2 linked regions of the Schizosaccharomyces pombe genome follow. The gene in region 1 interacts genetically with each later gene. Each region holds a gene or a part of one and is shown on either strand. Other genes may lie near its edges.

Region 1 (3,545 bases):
GTCTCGCTGCAACTGTCGCTCGTCAAGCTGCTAATTCTGGTGTACGTTTTACTGCCTATAATAGTATCAAGCAATCCCTTCAAAGCAGATTACCACCAGATGAGAAGTTGAGTACCGTTACCACTTTCTTAGTCGGTTCTGTAGCTGGTATTATTACCGTTTATTGTACGCAACCCATCGATACTGTCAAGAGTCGTATGCAATCTTTGAGTGCTAGTAAGGAATACAAAAACAGTATTCATTGCGCTTATAAGATTTTAACTCAAGATGGTCTGTTGCGTTTCTGGTCTGGTGCTACTCCCCGTTTGGCTCGTTTGATTCTCAGTGGTGGTATTGTATTCACTGTTTACGAAAAAGTTATGGAAATTCTCAAGCCTTTTTAAATATCCTCGTAAGCAGTGGAATATGGATTTATCCTTGGTTATATATAATTATTGCTTCATTAAAGCAATCACTTCACTGGTTTTGTTCTTTTTTCACATTATCTTCTTTTTATTATTTTATTCTTTCTTTGGTGCTTTATAGATAGTTAGATTATTAAAAATATAACCCCCTAGAGTTTTGAAATGTTTTGTGCTTTGGAAGTATTCATGTTTTGCATGTTTTGAATTGCAACTTCCTAAATGCCCCTGTTACTACTACCATAATTAAATTATACCAATAATAAATCACCAAACTCATTCAAATCCATATATCTGGGTTGATGTTTAGGCACCTAGACAATACGCAGTGTAATTACATGCTACAAGCACCTCAAAAAGTTTAGCGAATATTGAACCAATAGTTCTTTCATTAAAATAAACCTATAATAAACAAATTATGCCTATACAAAGGAAGCTGAAAAAGGAAATGTATAATAAAGGGAAGAGGAAAACACGGAAAGTTCATCAAACGAGAAAAGAAAGCGTCAATCAACCATCAGGAAACCTAACAATCATTCAAACTCGAATAATGTACTGTACAAACAACTAAGCTTGAAACAGAGTATGTAACCAAATAAAAACGTAAGAATTATGAGTCATATGAAAAAGTTTCTCAACCGAATAATGCACTTGTTTCTGTATCACTGATATAATGATAAAACTAAATTTCTGATAGAGAAATTGCGTAAAAAAAGGTGTGAACGAATTAAGTCACGAAACCAACAGTTCAAGCAATTAGTGTGGTATAATAATAGTTAAGTATAAACGACAAATAATCTTAATATACAATTTATCATTCATTTAAGAGTTTAAAGCTCTTGGCTAGGCTTGCCCTTACCAGATTGTTTGGGCAAGAGATGAGCGTTGATATTAGGTACAACACCACCCTGGGCAATAGTAACATGACCAAGTAGTTTGTTCAATTCTTCGTCATTGCGAATAGCCAATTGAAGATGACGGGGAATGATACGAGTCTTCTTGTTATCACGAGCAGCATTACCGGCCAATTCGAGGATTTCGGCAGCTAAATACTCCAAGACGGCAGCCAAGTAAACGGGAGCACCAGCACCAACACGTTGAGCATAATTACCCTTACGCAACAAACGATGAACACGACCGACAGGGAAGGCCAAACCAGCCTTAGCGGAACGAGATTGAGCAGACTTGGCGACTGCGGCCTTACCACCAGATTTACCTCCAGACATGCTTGATAAAGAAATTACTTAAGTTTTAAATTGGAATAATGTATGCAGGATTGCTCAATTGCCCAATATTTAGAGAAGAAGAAGATGATGCAGCGACAAGCTCTTTTATATACAGCAATATACAGGGTTAGGGTTTTGATGGATGTTTATGGGCATTCATCACTGAATGATAGCAGACTCGTTTCAGTGATATTATACTCAGCATTTGGAACGCACAACGAATTTCGTTAAGTATATTTAGGGAATATATAAAAGACACAGTAACTATGATTAGAACGATTGTATACTACCTTATAATATATGATCCTGCAAATTCGTCGAATGTATTTAGTTAGACATAATTAAAATTCAATCAATATATGTACATATTTATGATTTTATTAAACTAAGTATACTCTTAATTTTACGGAAAAAGAAAAGTCTGCTACTAAATATCGACCATCGTAGTTTAAACTAAATATAACAGGACGTGCAAAAGTACAAAAAGCTTTGTTTTAAAAGAACTTTCTGAGAAAAGGTAAAACACATCAATTCCAGAGCAAAGTTTAGTAGAGAGCGACGTTTAAGCAGTTTTGGCATTAGGGAATTTGAAGTAGTAATCCGTTTCCGGTAAAATGGATGCCTTTATTGTACGCCCTCCGAACCAACGTTGATGGAGTCCAGTGATTGCCTTTTCAGCAAAATCGGCATTTTCAAATTTTACAAATATCTGCCCCAATTCATTCGGTACAACAGCAATGTGAACTACTTTGCCGTACTTTTCATCACACTCTTCTTTGACGTCCTGCTCCAATTCTTGCACCCAATTAGGTGATGTTTCCCTTTAAAGGTTAGTCAATTATGAATCATAAAAAAAACGTACTCAGCAGGATTAAACATGTTTTCTAATAATGCACATCTACTACGAATTGGAGGCTCTGGTTCAGATACCAGTTTACTGCTTTATGTTAGAAGACAAAAAGGATCCAAGTTAAAACAAGACATACCTGTTGTCTGAAATGTCTTCAGAGCGTGCTAACTTTTTCATTAGCTCATCTCTTGTAATGGGACGGCTTTCTTCTTCAGTAGGAGATAAAGGAGCTGCTTCTCGATAGTCTTGTGATTCGTAGGTTGATGAACCGCCATTACGTTGAGAAGGTTGACTACGTTCTTGGCGAGCCAACGTTTCGTCAAAGCGCTTCAGCATGGAACTAGTTGTTTCTGTAGTAAATTTATCATTGCCCAAACAAACCCTCATATTTCTTCCGGCTAAATCAAAGCCATTCATTTTCTCCAAAGCATTTCTCGCACTTATAGGATTTCGATATCTAAAAAATATAATGTTAGTGTCGTTGAAGTTAAATAGATATAAATATCAATCTAATTTTTTGAAAACATACTGTATATAACCAAAACCCTTGCTTCGGTTTTGATCATCACGCTGAAGGTGTACAAATTCTATGTCGCCAAAAGGTTCGAAAATTGCCTTAACATCTTCATCAGTAAGGTTGAAGTGAATGTTTGAGACACACAATCTGTGAAATGGAATTTCAGCGCTAGCGGCTCGTGCCAATCTACAAATAAGTTAGACAAAAATAATGGATGCTTAGTAAAAACTTACTCAGCAGCTTCACGAGCTTTTCTATTTTTTTCAGCCTCTGTAAGTTGTACAATGACAGGAAGACCCAACAATCGCTTACCAGAAAGCGCAATAGCCGCCTGTACAGAATCCTCGTGACAGAACTCCACATATGCAACACTATATTATATTCGTTAGCAAACGAACCCAATTTGAAAAATAAAAAAAAACAGAATAATATCTATTTAAAAAAAAAAAAAAAATTATAAGACATACCCTTTCGATCGTCCGCTAATCTTGTCTCGAACAATTTGAGCATCGCGAACAGGACCAGCTTGTTCGAAAAAATCATATAATTCC
Region 2 (5,289 bases), 1.2 Mb from region 1:
AACTCCAAAAAAAATTTTCACATACAGTTAAATTTCTGTTTCAAGAGTAAAACCGATATTTCCTTGTTCGCTTCGAAACCTGTCAATGCGCTTTTTTCGATTGCAAGGACAGAACACTAAAAAATATAAAATACACTCAAGCAAAGAATGTATTTAACACTTGATTTATTTTCCAAATTGCTTGTATAAGAAATAGAACTTGATTAATATTGTTGAACAGTGAGTTGGTTCGTTGGTCTGCTTATAACAGCTGGTGCTTTCACCACACTATGATGTCATCGTAGCGATGCGATAAATAGAAACAGCACACAGGTCACTTTCTCGTCCGAGGTTTAGCGCTCATTTGGCCGTGTGCGGAAGCATGTGCGGGTCTCTAAATTCACGCTTTATAAATGGTAAGATGGCGCAAAAAACTGTGTATTCCATTTAACAGCATATTTGGGTAAACCTATAAGTGCCTGATATACATATTGCGCATTTTATGAATAAATTTTATACAGTGAAGTGCAATGCATTGCAGAATCATTTGTTAGATATGCGGTATGCTTGATCTGATATGACGAGTGGATTTGCTGTGTTTTGTAGTCAATAAACAAACAACTAAACCTTTTCAAAAAATAAAATAAAATTGCAAGACTAAAAAGAAGCACTATAATGAGGCCCCTTTATTTTTATGTTTCGGAATTACCTCCTTTTACTTCCTCTTAAAACCGCAAATAAGTATATGCGTTTTTCTACTCATAAAGATTTTTACCTTTTATATCTTTTAATCGTGTAGAAATTTGTTATTTATTTTTATTAACCTTTTGTACTTCATTTCATATCATTTTATTTATTTCTTTATTTGTTTTTTTAATTGAGATGTAATAATTATAAATTTCGGGAATTGGTCAAACTATTTTTTTTCATACATTATCTGGAAAATAGAAAAAAAAGCGTATTGAAATCGATTCATTTATGTTGAGTATCTTGAATTTATTGGTTCAAGATTTTAACAATCAACTAACAGATCGCATATTTCATTAAATAACCGTGTAGGTTTTTTATCCTTCGCCCTTAAATACGCTCGTTTATTTAATATCATTATTAAAATTCTATTTTTGTATAATTTCTAATGGTCCTCCTTCATAGAAGAAACTCAAGAATATATGTTTGCAAATATACTTCTATAAATAAATAATAGACAAAGTAAACGATGTCCTCTTTACCTTTAATTTTATGTTCTTTGCTCCTTTGCACTTGGTTTGTTCCAAGATGAACGAGAGGATCGTTTTCTTCCTTGCCCGGTTCGGGATGCCTTTGAGACATTTCTTTTTCCAATTACTTTGGTGGGACTGTCAGCATCATAGTCAATCAAAAATTCATCAAAATCAATTCGATCACGCAAGATGGATAAAGCTACTAGTTCAATCTTGTACACATTTAAACCAGTAGCACTCATATTCCGTCCTTCTTGATCGTTGTCAGGTTGAGCAAGTATAATTGTGTCCTTCTCTTGAGCCCTTTTAATATCACCAACAATCTATTTAAATCATTAGCCTATCATAACTAGATATTCTCCATCTTTCACTTACCTCAGCTCCAGATGTTTCCAAAATTGAGTAAAGTCCGTGTATAGAATCCCCTACCATCGAATCTCGAATTGCCTTTGTAATGTATAGTCTTTTCCCATTGAAACACGTTCTTCTGTGGATATCGTCCAAACGAAATCCCCACTTGGCTTCTGCTTCCTCGTCTTTATATTTGTAGCTACGAAAATCTAAAACTTTACCTGATTTTATACAGTCTGTCAAGTATTGAGAAGAGACAAGTGGTATACCTAGAGAAGTCGCCAGTAAAAACTTATGTGTCCTCCGAAGTGGAGGTGAACCAAGGATGACAAAGTCGGTTTCGTCTGTGACACTTTCTTGCACCCTTAGACCATTTCTCCTTATAAAACTTTTCATCGGTTTAGTTAGGTTGAAACTCGACGTTACCAGATTTGTGTGCTTGTTTTTATTTTCAACTGCCGAGGACTGCACATTCTTGTCAGGTTGATCCTCTAAAGATGATGAGGGGAAAGAATAATTAGTGGAAATTGGTGCCTCTTCTGCTTCTCTGTTACTTTCATCCTGGGATGTGGATTCCTTCTCTTTGAGAGCGATTTCCGGCGCACTTCTTTTACTTTCTTCATTTTCGTTGGAGGGGGTTAAATCTGGCCTAACCTCTGGATTTACTTCATCACTGTGAATGCTATTGTTCTTTATAGAGCTGTCCGATATGTTTTGCTGTGGATTCACATCCTTCTCAATTGGTGAGTTTATTTCAGCACTTTGCTTTCTATCAAATACCTCTGCTGGCTTCAAGGATGGGTCTCCACTCAATGATTGCGAGACAGAAGAAGGAGATTTTGTTTCTCCTTGTATATAAATTTGGTGTGATTCAATAAATGTTGACTCATCGTCGGTCTTATTCAACTGTTTTTGATCTTCAGAAACAACCTCCTCTTCAGTGTCAGAACTATGGTCGCCTTCCACATGTTGACCGTCCAATACCAATTTTTCGTCCAAATCATTCTCAGAGTTTTCAACTTTAAGAACAGGCTCAGCGGCAGATTGCGATTCTGGAATTCTCTCAGAAAAGAGTTCCTTTTCCAATTCTAAAGCACTTTTTTCTGAAGCGAATCGCGAAAGGGGAATGACCTGGTCAGATCCTTGCCTAATTAAAGAATTGTAATTTTGTTCCAAGTTACTTGAATAATCAATTTGATCTTCATTCGCATTGATCGCTTCAAATTTTTGTTGCTGCAAATTTGGCTTCTGCGGGGTATTAGGGACCTTGGAAAATAGGTTAGTGTCTTTTTGACAATAGTATAATGAGGGAATGCACATACAGTCATAACTCCCATTTTGGATCCTTCATTCACGTTTGCATTATCCTCCTCTAATTTTGAAAAAATTACAGGAGTATCGTTGATTCTTACTCTCTAAAAAAGTATATAATTAGCTTACTCAATTAATCAATAGAAAAAAGATAATACCGTTTCGTCAAAAACATAATAAAGAAGCTTTTTGTCGCTAGCAGATGGAAGCACCGTTGTATCGGCTATTTTAACTATAGCTCGAATATTTCGAATAAAAAGTTGATGTTCTATATTTAAGAATTCAACAAGAACATCATCTGTTTCCATTTCCTTCAGATGGGAACCATCAGTAGCTAGAAAACCCCCAGAATTTACCATCCTACACCTCTGATTTCCAAACTGTATCTCCATTTTACAAATCCTGCTATTGATCGTATAAAAATTTCAAGGAGGAATTAACAATTAATGTTTTGGTTACTGCGTGAAAAAGCTTAGCAACAACTCTGTGATTAATTCATCGAATGGTTAAGAAATGCGTGGTATAGTTACAAGGATAGTGTTGTCAACGCAAAAGTGTCTACCTTCTGTAAATTGTACTAGGAGATACTATTCAAAACAAAAGGATATTTCTATTGTTCGGCAACGATTGGGACGACCTGGAAATCATTTGAAAATTGGCATTGTAGGAATGCCCAACATTGGGAAATCCACCTTATTGTACGTTTGTTCAAGGGTTTAACTGATAAATTTGCTTCATTGATCGGTATTAACAATAAATATAGTCAAATTCTTACAAAGACAAACCTGGGAAATCCTGCTAACTGTACGTTGTCATATTTTAGTCAAGTATTAGTTTTGATTATAAGTGATATAATATTTTGTATTTCTGTTGTCTAACAAAACAAATTTATAAGACCCTTTCGCTACAATCGATCCCGTTCATGCAAAAGCCCCTGTACTTGATTCACAGTATGAATTGCTTTGTGAAATTTATCAGCCTAAAACGCGTATCCCAGCGCAATTAACTATTTATGATACTGCAGGGTTGACAAGGAATTCAAGCAAGGGAGAAGGTCTTGGAAATGCGTTTCTTTCAAACATTAGATCCGTCGATGCTTTGTTTCAATTGGTACGTGCATTTCCAGAGGCTCAAGTTCCTCATGTTGAAAAGTCAGTTGATCCAGTAAGAGATCTACAAATAATACAGGAAGAGCTATTGTTAAAAGACGCAGAGTTTTTAGAATCATATTTAAAAAAGGAGGGCCGCTCGCCCAAAACATGTGCAAAAGCTCTTGATACGGCACGAAGAGCATTAGAAGTAGTATTAGGAAAAGGCCGTCAAATATCTAAAGCTGAATGGAATGACGAGCAGATTCCCATTTTAAATTCTTTAAACTTACTCACTGCCAAACCGGTGGTGTATCTGGTAAATATGGATCAAGACGATTATCTTTCCGATGAACAAGAAGCATTAAAAGGAATCAAAGAATGGGTTGAGAAAAATAGTTTTGGTGATCAAGTGATACCTCTCTCAGTTCTGTTTGAAGAACAGCTATTCATGCTTACGCCTGAAGAGGCGGCGCAGGAATGCGCTAGTTTGGGCAAAAATTCTCAATTATCAGAAATTATTTGTGCGGGATATTCTGCACTTAATTTGATACATTATTTCACAGCTAGTGAAAAAATCGTTCAAGCTTGGACTATTGCCGACGGCTCTAAGGCGCCTGACGCGGCCGGTATAATACATTCAGATTTCAAGAAGAAGTTCGTTGCAGGAGAAGTTATAAAGTTTTCTGATTTCGAAAAGTACAAATCAGTAGATGCTTGTAAAAGCGTAGGAAAGTGCAAAACGAAAGGGAAAGATTATACTGTCGAACCCGGGGATATTATTTTCTGGAAAATTGCTCGTTAGTGATAATCTAAATTAAATTAAATTAATTATAGTAAGATTTCATTAATACCGTTTTCATAATGTTTCTTTTCAAGTGTTTATTAGTTATTTGTTTACAAAACTTTATACTTGTAGGATAGCTTTAATTACATTAAATTATTTAGTGCATCGGTGTATTTTGTTAAATTGGCCTCTAAACAGTAATGCCTACGTACTGTGTGTATGTAAACACATAATTCAACCTATTGCCATATTTCTTACATATTACCCTTTTTTTGGGTGTAATAGCAGTAGTCAGAATTCTGGGTTGTTTTATCTTTTCCTTTCATAAATAAAAAATGGATGGGAAACCGCAAGTTGAAGTGATAGTTAATGGACAAGTTGTTCCAAATTTGGATGATAGAGAGTATCGTCTTATTAAGTTGGAAAACGACCTCGAGGTTTTGCTAGTGAGAGATCCGGAAACAGATAATGCAAGTGCAGCTATTGACGTTCACATCGGCAGTCAAAGCAATCCACGAGAGTTGTTAGGATTGGCGCACTTTTGTGAGCATCT

The links.
Region 2: of hta2 (region 1) and mdb1, a mutation in one rescues a mutant of the other (synthetic rescue), as found in Schizosaccharomyces pombe (one study listed by BioGRID).

The regions. Positions count from the first base shown.
Region 1 is NC_003424.3:4,051,621-4,055,165, forward strand, and holds hta2 (histone H2A beta), read right to left. Parts: upstream 1,699-3,545; 5' UTR 1,628-1,698; coding exon 1,232-1,627; 3' UTR 826-1,231; downstream 1-825. Other genes in the region: mce1 (citrate transporter), read left to right, coding at 1-383; RNA-binding protein Rsd1, read right to left, coding at 2,190-2,448, 2,490-2,564, 2,614-2,934, 3,007-3,180, 3,228-3,365, 3,462-3,545. UniProt on the Schizosaccharomyces pombe protein: Core component of nucleosome which plays a central role in DNA double strand break (DSB) repair. Nucleosomes wrap and compact DNA into chromatin, limiting DNA accessibility to the cellular machineries which require DNA as a template.
Region 2 is NC_003424.3:2,881,968-2,887,256, forward strand, and holds mdb1 (BRCT domain protein Mdb1), read right to left. Parts: upstream 3,375-5,289; 5' UTR 3,254-3,374; coding exon 3,020-3,253; exon of another isoform or gene 2,966-3,019; coding exon 2,873-2,965; exon of another isoform or gene 2,817-2,872; coding exon 1,575-2,816; intron 1,523-1,574; coding exon 1,217-1,522; 3' UTR 826-1,216; downstream 1-825. Other genes in the region: SPOM_SPACUNK4.13C (NTPase Ylf2), read left to right, coding at 3,375-3,559, 3,625-3,665, 3,757-4,754; iph1 (metallopeptidase), read left to right, coding at 5,072-5,289. UniProt on the Schizosaccharomyces pombe protein: Involved in DNA damage response (DDR) mediated through its interaction with phosphorylated H2A proteins hta1 and hta2 which mark the discrete foci of DNA damage.